Linked DNA regions of Macaca fascicularis. The protein of the gene in region 2 interacts with the protein of the main gene of each other region in a pairwise test. Links are inferred from orthologs where the notes say so. Each region holds a gene or a part of one and is shown on either strand. Other genes may lie near its edges.

Region 1 (3,628 bases), on a different chromosome or scaffold from region 2:
CTCCAGGTGGTCACTGGGCACACCATGTCTGGACCCCAGCCCAGCCCCTGAGAGGGGAATTCTGGGGAGGGAGTGTCTGTCGTGCCGCTGCTTGCTTATGGAGACCCTAAGCGTGTCCATCCACTGGGCTCACCCCAAAACCGGCGTCGAAACCAGTGTTGCCCCACTTTGTGACAAGTGGGCATGCAGCTCTAGGTGTCCCTCAGGGGCCAGTGCCCTGGGCCACCATCGACAGTTGTGACACATGACTTAGGCGGTAGATGCCCCTGAAGGAACGGCTGTGTGAGGGCGCTCTCGCCATTCTAATAGAGCTCCTCACAGCTTTGGGGCCAAGGCAGTACCAGCCATTTATCCTCACCATTCAGCGGGTCAGAGGGCCCCGGGCTCCCAGGCCACTCCCGTGGCTGTGGTTGGTGCATGTACGTTGTGGCTTCAGTGGTCTCGGGGACATGCCCTGGGGTGGGGGCTGCAGCAGGTGTGGGGATGGGGCATGGCAGGCCCCGAGGTTGGGAAAGGCTGTTCTTCAGACCTTGGGTTCTTGTTGGCACTAGAGTCTGTCCTGTGCAGAGGCAGTTGTGGATGATGGCTGTCGCCTGCCGTGCCTGGGCACTGGCCCTGGGCGGGGCACAGGATGTGGGAGGTGTCACGACAGCCCTGTGAGGAAGGCAGGCGCACATGAGAGACGGGGCGGCCCCCGCCAGGCGGCGGGTGTGCAGTGAGGATGGCCCACCCCACGCACGCAGAGCGTCAGAAAGAGGAAAGAAACACAAAACGCAGCTGACAGTTAAAGACGGGTTTTCTGTTTTGTTTTGTTTTTTTTTTTGAGACAGAGTCTTGTTCTGTCTCCCAGGCTGGAGTGCAGTGGCGCGATCTCAGCTCACTGCAAGCTCCGCCTCCCGGGTTCACGCCATTCTCCTGCCTCAGCCTCCCGAGTAGCTGGGACTACAGGCGCCCGCCACCGCGCCCGGCTAGTTTTTTGTATTTTTAGTAGAGACGGGATTTCACCGTGTTCGCCAGGATGGTCTCGATCTCCTGACCTCGTGATCCGCCCGCCTCGGCCTCCCAAAGTGCTGGGATTACAGGCGTGAGCCACCGCGTCCGGCCCAAGACAGGTTTTCTTTAGTTAAAACCTGAGAGGCGCCCCCAGCCGATTGTGGTCAGAAGCCCCTTCTCTTACAGACTAAGCGTGTGTTGGTTTTGGGGTGAGGGCTCGTCAGGAGCTCGGAACGTGTGTGTGGAGAAGTTCGTGGCCGGGCTGGAAGGACGGCAGGTTATCCTGGGACATCTTTCCAGCCCGGAGGTGGGTTCTCTCGAAGCTGGCGTCTTCCCGGCCGGAGGAGGGTTGTCTCGGGCTGGCATGTCTCTGGTCGGGGAGGAGTTTGGAGTGTTTCTGGTTGGAGATGTTATTTGTAGTTTATGGTTGTGCTGACTTTAGCCATTAGGCTGATGCCTTTTGGATTTAGGCGGTTTTTGGTTAAGGTGAACTTTAGAATGAGGGGCTTGTCCAAGACGGTGATGCTCCTGCTCTGTCACAGAGGAGGGCCAGCGCGAGGTGGCAGGCGGGTGCCCTGGGCTCCTGCGGGAAGATGGCAGCTGCAGGGGTCAGTTTATCCAGCCACTGACTCAGCTTGCGGCTGCCACCCTGGGCCCAGGGACAGCCAGGGGCGTCGTCTGCGAATCACAGGGCCAGCCTGCCAGGGTGGCGAGTGGATTCATCTGTGACTGAGGCTCTCCAAGGGTTCTCAGAGGCGCGGCTGTCAGCATGAGCCCTGAAAGGATGCCTCGGCTCCAGGTGCAGGCTCAGGAGGCTCTGGGGCCGGAAGATTTAAGGACAGAAGTCCCAGTTCACCGTGAGAGGAACTCTCAGGGCAGGGGAGCCCGAGGTGGCTGAGACTGAGGATGGGTGGGTCCAGGCGGAGCTTTCAGGCTGTGATAAGAAGGCTGGTGTCTCCCTCCAGGCCCCGGCAGCCTCCGAGGGGTCCCTGGTGCACCTGGGGCAGGGAGAGTGGGCTGCAGGGAGGCCGCACCAGCTCAGGCACCAGGGGTTGCCAGCCCTGGGGGAGGCGAGGTGGTTGCGTGGAGAGAGACTCGCCTCTGTGGGGCATGGGTGGGGGGAGCTGAGGGTCTGCTCTGGTGTGGCCTCTGCGGGGTCCTGGAGGAAGGCGTGCCAGTGGCCGTGACAGAAGGGCCCGGGTGGCAGGAACTTGCCACCCTGGAGTGGGCCCAGTTCACCATGTTCTGCAGGGAGCAGCGGTGCCAGGCTCAGCCCTGCCCCCCACTTGCCTTTTATGTTCTGCAGCTTTTGCGGGGCCCCCAGATCCTCTGCACGGGAACAGCTTGTACCAGAAGGTTCGGGCGGCCGCGCAGGTGAGCCCAGGAGCAGTGTCGCTCTGCGGGGTGCCCTTCCTCCTGTAGAGGGCAGGACTGGGGCCAGGATGTCAGCTGGGGGGTTTGCAGTTCCCCTGCCCGGGACCCCTGCCTCTGGGGGACAGAACACAGCTGATACGAGTGGCAGGGTGAGTACAGGAGGCCCCGGCATGAGGACGCTGAGGGCCTCCGCCTCCCCATGTAGGACTTGGGGAGCACCCTGTTCTCGGACACCGTGTTGCCACTGGCTCCCTCCCAGCCTCTGGGGAACCCGCCTGCCACAGGTAGGTGACCGAGGGGACTGTGTCCAGTCCCGGCACCGGGTTTCTGCCTCCCTGAGTGTCCTCGGCGTCTGTGCCACCCATGGGCAGGGCCGACGGTGGGGGCCGACTTACCGCTGACAGAGGACCCTCTGCAGGCATGGGCTCCCAGGCCAGGCCGCACGGCACCCTCCAGGGTTTCGGCTACAGCAAGGAACATGGCCGCACGGGTGAGTGGGAAGGGCCTGCATGGGCCCCGGCATCTCAGGGTACAGGAATGAGGAGGGCGGTGGGGGCCGGACCATGCTGCCCCACCTGGTAGCTGCTGCCCCCCGTCCCCTCCCCTACACGGCCTCAGCCCTTCCTGGGGCTGTCCCTACTGCTGCCGTGGGGGTGGGGCAGGTGTGGCCAGGGCTGCTTTACGGACAGGCGAGAGAAACCAGGCCCAGCAAGAAGTCAGGGCTGGGTCCCATGGCAGGGGGAGTCCCACTCCAAGAGGGGCTGAGGGCTGTCCCCTGGCTGTAGTGTGAGTGACTCGGGCAGTCCTGTGTGGAGCTGTTACAAGCTGGGGCAGTGCCAGTGGACAACTACTCATTAGCGCCAGAAGAACCACAGGTGGCACCACGGCCTGCAGCTGGGACCCAGCCCCCGGCCCAGCTGTGCCCTGCTGCCAGGCCCCGGGCGGTGTCTCGCCGCTCACCGTTAGGCTGTGTCACACTGTCCTGCACGCAGCCCGGGGCTCCTGCTGACACTTTGGTGTGGGGGCACCTTCTACAGGGAGCTCACACGGGAAAGGCCGGCCCCTCCCCAAGCCCTGGACACACCTCCCTGAGCCAAGGCCGAGCCCAAGCCCCTTAGGACACCCTCACCCCCAGAGGACAGAGCAGAGGGACGGAGGCATAACTGCTGTGAGCTGGGTGTCTAGGCCACTGGGCGTGGGAATGCCAAAGTGGAGTCCACCGGGAGCTTCCAGAGGGCCTGGGGTCCACCTGGAGGCCTCC
Region 2 (4,136 bases):
AAAAACTCCCTGTAATAAAATTATATGATACAGGTTATTAAGCCAAAGCAGTGGCTGAAAATCTAAGTTCAGGGTACAATAATGTTTTCCCCAGTATTAAGGAGCTCAAATAAATTATCCTCTTTAAAAACCTACTGCGTGATCTCTTGAAGTCATCAGCCATTTAGGACCAGACAGAGAAGACGGTACTCACCTGAGGCTACACATGCTCCGTAACGCCAGCCCTCGCACCATTGGATTGGGGTCTGAGCAGTCTTTGCACAGCGTATTGATGGCCAGGAGAGCCAGATCTGGTTTCAGGGGAGCATATGTGCACATGTACAGATAAACCAACTTCTTCTGGACAATATCTACAGTGGCACTGGCCTTCACCATTTCCATAAAAACACCAGACATGTCCAAACCCTGAGTCATGTACCTGAAACCAACGCACATGACAGAAAGAAGTAAAATGCAAAATCCCCAACTAACAATGGAGGGAGTTTTACTTACATATCTCCTGGTTACCCAACTAGCTTGTGATCTCTTAAGAGGGTAGCAGCCAGGATTACCTTGTCTATTATATCACACAGTACTTCATACCGTAGGTCTGCAATAAACATTCTTCTTCTATTCATTCAACAAACACTTATTATTATTTTTGAGATGGAGTCTTGCTCTGTTACCCAGGCTAGAGTGCAGTGGCACAATCTCGGCTCATTACAACTTCCGCCTCCCAGGTTCAAGTGATTCTCCTGCCTCAGCCTCCTGAGTAGCCGGGACCACAGGTGCGTGCCACCATGCTTGGCTAAATTTTTGTATTTTTAGTAGAGACGGGGTTTTGCCATGTTGACCAGGCTGGTCTCGAACTCCTGACTGCAGGTGATGCACCCGTCTTGGCCTCCCAAAGTGCTGGGATTACAGGCGTGAGCCACCATGCCCAGCCTCAACAGACACTTATTGAATCCCTAGTACTTTGGTGAAATTCAACTTTTACATCCAGGGACATGCTCTTGGGACATAATCTTGAAGAAGGCGTGGTCTCAGACCTCTAGGAACTTCAGATCTATTAATGAGCCAGATAAAAATACCGTTAATTATGGTATGATTGATAAGTATTTAAATAGAAGTATTGTACAAGGCGCAGAGGGGATTCAGAGGTCTAACACCGGCAGGAAGTCAGAAAATGTTTCTTCACAGAGGAAGTAACACTTTACCAGAATGAGCAAGAGCTCACTAGGCAGATGTAATCGATGTAACAGAAGGTATGAGGTATGTAGACATGAGCAGGAGTGGCATACATTTTTTTGAGTCTGTAGGTAGTTGAATTAACAGCTTGTTCCTTGGGTGCTGTGGTAAGTTTGGACTTCATTGTTTCTCAAACTGGTCGCCTACTGGAATCAGCTGAGATGTTTATTAAAAATACAGATTCCTGGGTTCCCTCCTACCTTACTGAAATCAGAATCAATCCCTGGACTGGATGACAAAAAGCACCCCCAGGGATTTTTGTGCACCGTAAAGTTTGTGAACCATAGCTGTAGGCAAGAGTTATATGTTCAGATTTGTATAATGGGAAAATTCTGTCTCAAATGAGGCAAGGTGGCCTACTAGTAAGCTGCTGCAATTGCTTTGGTGATGAAGGCCTGGACCAGAGCAACAACGCCAATAAACAAGAGAGGGTGGATATTTAGAATTATGAATTCAAACCATCTGACATGAGAAGTGGGGATCGGGTGTCCTCAAGGTTGGCTCCCACGCATAGTCACTGCTGGTGGCATTCATCAACACAAATGTAAGCCGAAGAACAGGTTTGAGGAAGACGGAAGAATGTCCGTGCTATTTCGGACATACTTTTGATAAACCATGCAAGTGGAAATGCCAAGCAGGCAGTGGGATACGTGGGTCTGAAGCTAAAAAAAAGAAGTCTGTACTAGCTATATTATAGATCCAGGAGTTAGCAGTAATTGTTCAAGCCTGTGATATGGAGGAAACTACCCAGGTAAGTAAAAGATGCTGCAGAGGAGAGACTGAGATAGTACTCCAAAGCAGCAGGACGAAGACCGAACCATATAATTGCCACGTGTGAAAGCTAATTTACCCTTTCAGAGAGACTGGGGCTAGTGAGCCCTGATGGGGATTGCAAAGGGAGCAAACAGCACGCGACGGGAGTTAGGTGATACCTAATCACTCGCTGGATGACATTCCGGTAGCGCAGCCTATCAGCTTGAATGTGAGGATTACACAAAGCCTTCTTCAGCTCCTTCACCACGTCCTCGGAGCCAAGGTACGGCATCTTCCTAACAGTCACAGGGCAGCTCCCACAGCTCCCACGGTAACTCGTGGGCTCCTTCTCGTCTTGATGTGGGAGCCTGAGTAAAGGAAATATGAGTCAGTGAAAATACTAAAGACGAAATCTCGCCTCAGGCTCGGCTTCCGTAGGGCCGGCACGCTGGCCCTGACACACTTCCACGCCCTCCGCGACCCCGCGAGCCCCACCCTGGGCTCTTCAGGCCCTACCCTCGCCCGGCAGGCCGTTCGCCCCGCCCACAGATCGCTCCCGCTAACACTAGGCCCTCCGCCGGATTTCCAGCGCCGCGTCCGACTGACCGCAGACCCCTCCCTCTCCAGTTCCAGCTTTTCCTGCGCCTTCAAGCCGTTCTCATCGCAGATAGGCCCAATCTTCCTTTCTGCGGAAGTCCCGCCCCCTTGTCAGGAGACCAAACAGAAGCGCGCTGCCGGTCTCCCAGCGAGCGAGGGCTGAGCTTGGTCCCGACTCCGACCTTAGGATGCCCTTCCCTCAACCTCTCACCCTCCAGGCGCAGTCGCGCGGCTCCCTCTGGTGGAGCTGCGGCGGGCAATCGGAAATCGGCTACTTCGGCCTGTCTCCTCCCAGCAGCGCGCGCTTTGAGTGCCCGGCTTGGCCTCAGCTCCCGCGCGGTTGGGAGTGTCAAGCGCCCTCCGCTATTTGGGCTTGCGCCGGCACGGTCACTTCCTTTTTCTGCCCACTCTAGTGACTTATTCCTCTGCTGGGCTCTTTCCCTTAGGGTATCTGGCCCTGTTCTTGCCCCAGCATGACTTTTATCGGGGCGCCGTTGTGGAAGCCTCACGCAGGAGCCCTGCCCCCGCGGAGAAGATCCCACTGGTGACTACAACCCTGCCACCATGAATGGGGTCCTGATCCCCCACACGCCCATTGCAGTGGACTTCTGGAGCCTGCGTCGGGCTGGCACCGCACGGCTCTTCTTCTTGTCTCACATGCACTCGGACCACACCGTGGGCCTGTCTAGCACCTGGGCCCGGCCCCTCTACTGCTCCCCGATTACAGCCCACCTCTTGCATCGTCACCTACAGGTATGGGGCTGGAGTCAGTCTCCAAGAGGTGGTCCAGGCATCTGGGTTGGGACTTCGACCTGTCATTCTTTGAGTCATAGAATGGGGGCCACCAAGACTGATGCGGAAGTTGTTTGAACCCAAAAATGCATCTTTAACTCAGAATAGGAACGTGGTTTCCAAGTGACCAACTTGAGATATTTAGCTATAAGTTGAGGAGATATTTTAGTCCAGCCAAGGAAACTATTGCTACCTTTATACATAAGCTAGGCTGATGTTTCCCAAACTTGCTTTTTTTTTTTTTTCCTGATACGGAGTCTCGCTCTTGTTGCTGCCAGGCTGGAGTGCGGTGGCACGATCTCGGCTCACTATAACCTCCGCCTCCCGGGTTCAAGAGATTCTCCTGTCTCAGCCTCCTGAGTAGCTGAGATTACAGGCGCACGCCACCACGCCCAGCTAATTTTTTGTATTTTTCGTAGAGACGGGGTTTCACCATGTTGGCCAGGCTGTTCTCAAGCTCCTGACCTTAAGTGATCCGCCCGCCTCAGCCTCCCCAAGTGCTGGGATTACAAGCGTGAGCCACCACGCCCCGCCTAAATATGCCTTATCTTAAGAATCCACCTAACGTGCTGGGTGGTTCTCCAGCTCTCTCCCCACCCCACCCTTAAGTCTCCAAGATATTAAGATCAGGAGTAAGTTTGAAAATTGCTGACTAGACTGTTTGATGAACTCTCCCCCCACCCCACCCAGACGGAGTGTCCCTCTGTTGCCCAGGCTGGAGGACACTCCAGTTCACTGCAAGCTCCGCCTCCCGGGTTCACGCCATT
Region 3 (4,145 bases), on a different chromosome or scaffold from region 2:
TTTTAACGAAAGATCTCGTTATTGTCTGATTTCACTGTCTCACGAAGGCCCTGTGTCCTCCAAAGACTGAAGCTCTAAATGAGAATCTTCTGGGTCCTCTTTATTAGGAGCCCTCTGCCTTCCCAGGGGAGGGAAGCAAATCCCTCAGGGCCCCCGGAATTCCTGCACCCCGTATCATGGGTGAGTCCTACTGGCCACAGAGCCACCTGTCACCACGGAGACGCTTAAGCTGCACTCAGAGCTCCCCTCGGGCATGCCGAATGTAGTGTTGATGCAGCCCTGCTTCCTGAGCAAAGTCCTGACCGCACTCTGTACAGGCGAAGGTGCCAGGAGGGGCACGGGCCTCATGCATCTGGCGGTGCCGCCTCAGAGAAGCAGCCTGCCCAAAGGTCTTGCCACAGTCAGGACAAGGGAAGGTGGGCTGGGCAGTAGTGGTTGCAACCAGTGGGGTGGGCTTGGCGGCTGGACCGTGGCTGCGCTGGTGGGTGATTAAGGCTTTGGAGGAGGGGAAGGAGCGGGCGCAGGTGAAGCAGATGAAGAGGACCCCCTGCAGCTTCTGGGCCACGAAGTCCGCTGGGTGCTCCCGCTTCATGTGACGCTCCTGGAACTTGGAATCTGCGAAGGTGATGAGGCAGCGGGTGCACTTCGGGGCCCCCAGGTGGCCTGAGAGATGTGCGGAGAGGTCAGGGGAGGCCGGCAGGAGTCTCCAGGACCTCTCCTGAACCCCAGAATCATACCAACAATTAACATTGAGTGTGCTATGTGCTCGGTTCTATGCTAATGCTGGACAACCAAACAGGAGAACTGTTCTTGGACCTATTTTATGGATGAGCAAACTGAGATTCAAAGAGGTTAGGCAAGTTGCCCATAGTCAATGAGGCTAGGAAAGGAAATGGTGGAGTCAGGGTTGGAACCCAGAGAGTCAGCCTGCCCAACAGAGGGGTATGGTGATTACAGCACAGCCTTTGGAGCCAGACTGCCTGGGATTGAATCTCAGCTCCACCACTTCCTAGGCAATTACACCAGTTTCCTTATCTGGAAAATGGGCTAATAACAGTATCTACTCCATAGGACTGTTGGAAGGAATAAATGAATTGCTGTACAGTCATTTGCAATTATGACTAATGATAACAGAGAAATCCAGCCCGACATCCAGGATATGGCCTGGTACTCACAGCTAGACCTTGGTGTTCTGTTGAACATAATTTTTCACAAAATATCAAGGACAGACAAGGTCATGCTGTGACTAGAATGAATCAAGACAAGACTACATCATAATAATGTCTGAGCACAGACAAAATATGAATGCTGTCCAAGCAGAAAAATGACCAAACATCCTCCTATCCTGGCTCATGTGAATGTCTGCTGCTACTTTATCAGTCAGAGCTTGAGCCTTGCCTTCTTCCTTCCTCCTTCTGGATAAGATTTATTACGATAGCCAATCATAGAATTGCCCCTGCTTCCTGGTAGCATCCAATCCACAGCAAAACAATTTTGCTCGCACATTCCCCAAAATCACCACCCACAAGCCCAAATCCTATGTCGTTTTTACCACTCTTAGTGAGACACCCCACAGTTCCCCCATGGTGTGTGTTCTTCATTGCAGCGAGAAATAAACCCAACGTGTTCAACTGCACGTGTGTTTCCGGTAATCTCAGGCTCAAGGGCATTGAGACTACAGCTCTTGTTACAAATACCTCTCTCTGCCTCAGTTCCCAGTTTAAAGGGCCTATTATTAGAAGGACTGAATGAGATAATGAATGTTAAAATCGTTCATAATATGAGAATAAATACACCTAGCTCATAATAAAGCAGCAGGAGGTGTTGCTATTACATGGCAAACTGGCTACCATCATTAACCCCTGGCTTTCCCCTTTGCTGCAGTTAATCCCATAACCACCCTGTGAGGTGGATAGTGCCACCCTCTTTTGACAGTCAGGGAAGCCAAGGCTCAAGTTACACTGAAAGTCTAGGACACAGGTGGGACCAGAATCTTGGGGCTTTTCTCCCAATAGAACCATTCCCAGCCACGTCTCCAACCCAAGCCTCTCTTGGAAGCCACCCTATCCCTCTGAATGCATAAGCGTTGCAATCCTGCTTATGTGGCCAGAGGAGGGTGAGTACTCTGGCCACATAAGCCGGTGTGAGGAGATGCACTTCCTGCTAGGGCAGCTCAGGGACCATTACAGCCCCTTCTCAACAGGCAAAACTCTGTGGCGCCTTGGACACTGAAGTGCCACAGAGATCTTCTTAGCATCAGCTCCTGCACCCCGCCCTCCTCTAGCCAGCCAGCCATGTGTACTCACAGATGTTGCCTCCTGGGCTCTGGGGACTTCTCTCCTTGGGTGAATCCTGCTGCTTCATGTTCTCTTCAGAGTTCGGGTCCTCCATGGTGCTGGGACCCTTCTAGTCAGGAGAGGAGCGTGCATGAGTGAAGCTGTTCATCTGTTACCAGTCTTAGAGGGCACCCTAAGTCTATGACCTTTGACATCGCCATAGGCTCTCCTTGCCTGCTTTTGACCCTTACGACATACTATCTCCTTGAACTCTAATTGATGGAGTTCTTGCTAAGAGAAGCTTCAAACCTCCCAAAAGACTTCCTGGGTTTGGGACTCAAGAGTCTTTTCACTGGTGTGACCTATGACCTGCTGCATCAAACTAACTCCCTGAACTCAGCGTGGGAGTCTTGATCTTTGACACCAGCGTCATCCCAGTCTCAAGTGTCTTGGAGCAGGTAGTGATACCCACCCTTTATTCCAGTTCTTCCCGGGAAACATCCTCTGACATCCTGTGATTTTTGTTCCGCCCAGAGCCCCCGCCTCCCACGCGCACTAGCAGCTGCTATCCCGCTACCCTCAAGCGCTGCCTACAGGTTCCTGCTCCCAGGCCTCAGTTTTCCTCCGTACAGCAGAGGGCTGCCTTTCGCTGCGCCTGTCAGTCGCTAGCTACAGCCCCGCCACCCAGAGAGAAGTGGGATAGCCCACTCAGTCTCAGGGCCCCCGTGGTTTCCGCGCCTTTTTGCCAGATGAGCCTCTCGGAGCCGAGATCCCGGATTTGGCATCCGGCAGTAGTATAGTCGCACCAGTCCGGTCCTCAAAATAACGGGAGGGGTCCTTCTCTGCACTATGGTGCGTTATGATGACGTTTACCCTCCCGCGGCGTAGGTACCGAAGCTTTTTGCGCAAGTCTGGGTAGGTGCTCGTGGCGCGCAGGCGCGTTGACTCCTTCATTGTTCGAGGCCCCGAGGCCGCCGAACAGGGGCGTGAGCACTTCGGCCGTTCTGCGCAGGCGCTGCGAAGGGCTAGGTCTCTGCGGTAGCGCTTCCAAGACACACCCCCTTGGAAGAGGGAGTGACGTCAGGTTAAAGCTACTGGGACGCGTCCCGGCATCTTTAAATCACCGCGCCCTGGCCTCTTCGGCCTCCGTCCGCTGCGGCCGAGGGGTCGGGCTTCTCAGTTGCTGACCCACCGCCACCGACTGCGCTCATCCCGTGGGTCGGCTTTTTGCTCGGTTTGTGATGTGGAAGGGGGAAGGGGAAGGATAAAAATAACAATGCGTCCGAGGGAGGAGGGACTGGAAGCCAGATTTCTGAGGTTTTATTTTTATTTATTTATTTTTGAGAGAGTGTCTTGCTCTGTCGCCTGGGCTGGAGTGCGGTGGTGTGATCACTGCCCACTGCAGCCTGCAACTCCTGGGCTCAAGCGATCCTACCGCCGCAGCCTTCCGGGTAGCTGGGGCTACCGGCGCACGCCACCATGGCCCGGCTAAATTTTATTTTTTGTGGAGACGGAGACTCTACCAGAGAGTCCCACATGTTGGCCAGGCTGGTCTCGAATTCCTGGCCTCAAGCGATCCTCCCGCCTCGGCCTCCCAAAGCACTGGGATTACAGGCATGAGCCACCGCGCCTGATTGCAGAGTTTTTGAAGCAGAAAGGGAAACGTTTCCATCTAGAAAGAGGGCGGACAGACAGGGCGCCTGGAATCCCTGGGGAAGAGGGTCTGGGCTCTGGATTTTTTAGGTCCTGGAGAGAGACACTCAAGAACTGAAGGGGACCGGGGGGAGGACTGAGGCCTTTGTTCCGAGTGGGGCGGCTAGGAAAGGAAAAGGCTAGGTGCTCCCTGACCCAGGTCTTCACCCGTTGCTT

Evidence for each region.
Region 1: the proteins of AP4B1 (region 2) and TEPSIN interact in binary tests that used the Homo sapiens proteins (3 or more experiments, as listed by UniProt). The link is inferred for Macaca fascicularis from reciprocal best matches to the Homo sapiens genes AP4B1 and TEPSIN.
Region 3: the proteins of AP4B1 (region 2) and ZNF576 interact in binary tests that used the Homo sapiens proteins (3 or more experiments, as listed by UniProt). The two-hybrid records come from large-scale screens. The link is inferred for Macaca fascicularis from reciprocal best matches to the Homo sapiens genes AP4B1 and ZNF576.

The regions. Positions count from the first base shown.
Region 1 is NC_088390.1:87,656,932-87,660,559, reverse strand, and holds part of TEPSIN (AP-4 complex accessory subunit tepsin), read left to right. Parts: intron 1-2,299; coding exon 2,300-2,367; intron 2,368-2,572; coding exon 2,573-2,651; intron 2,652-2,785; coding exon 2,786-2,857; intron 2,858-3,404; coding exon 3,405-3,628. UniProt on the Homo sapiens protein: Associates with the adapter-like complex 4 (AP-4) and may therefore play a role in vesicular trafficking of proteins at the trans-Golgi network.
Region 2 is NC_088375.1:120,464,758-120,468,893, reverse strand, and holds the start of AP4B1 (AP-4 complex subunit beta-1), read right to left. Parts: upstream 2,818-4,136; 5' UTR 2,789-2,817; intron 2,656-2,788; exon of another isoform or gene 2,587-2,655; intron 2,584-2,586; exon of another isoform or gene 2,497-2,583; intron 2,349-2,496; 5' UTR 2,273-2,348; coding exon 2,160-2,272; intron 419-2,159; coding exon 194-418; intron 1-193. Other genes in the region: DCLRE1B (5' exonuclease Apollo), read left to right, coding at 3,142-3,330.
Region 3 is NC_088393.1:51,631,852-51,635,996, reverse strand, and holds the start of ZNF576 (zinc finger protein 576), read right to left. Parts: upstream 2,910-4,145; 5' UTR 2,749-2,909; exon of another isoform or gene 2,404-2,748; 5' UTR 2,392-2,403; coding exon 2,307-2,391; intron 664-2,306; coding exon 236-663; 3' UTR 1-235. UniProt on the Homo sapiens protein: May be involved in transcriptional regulation.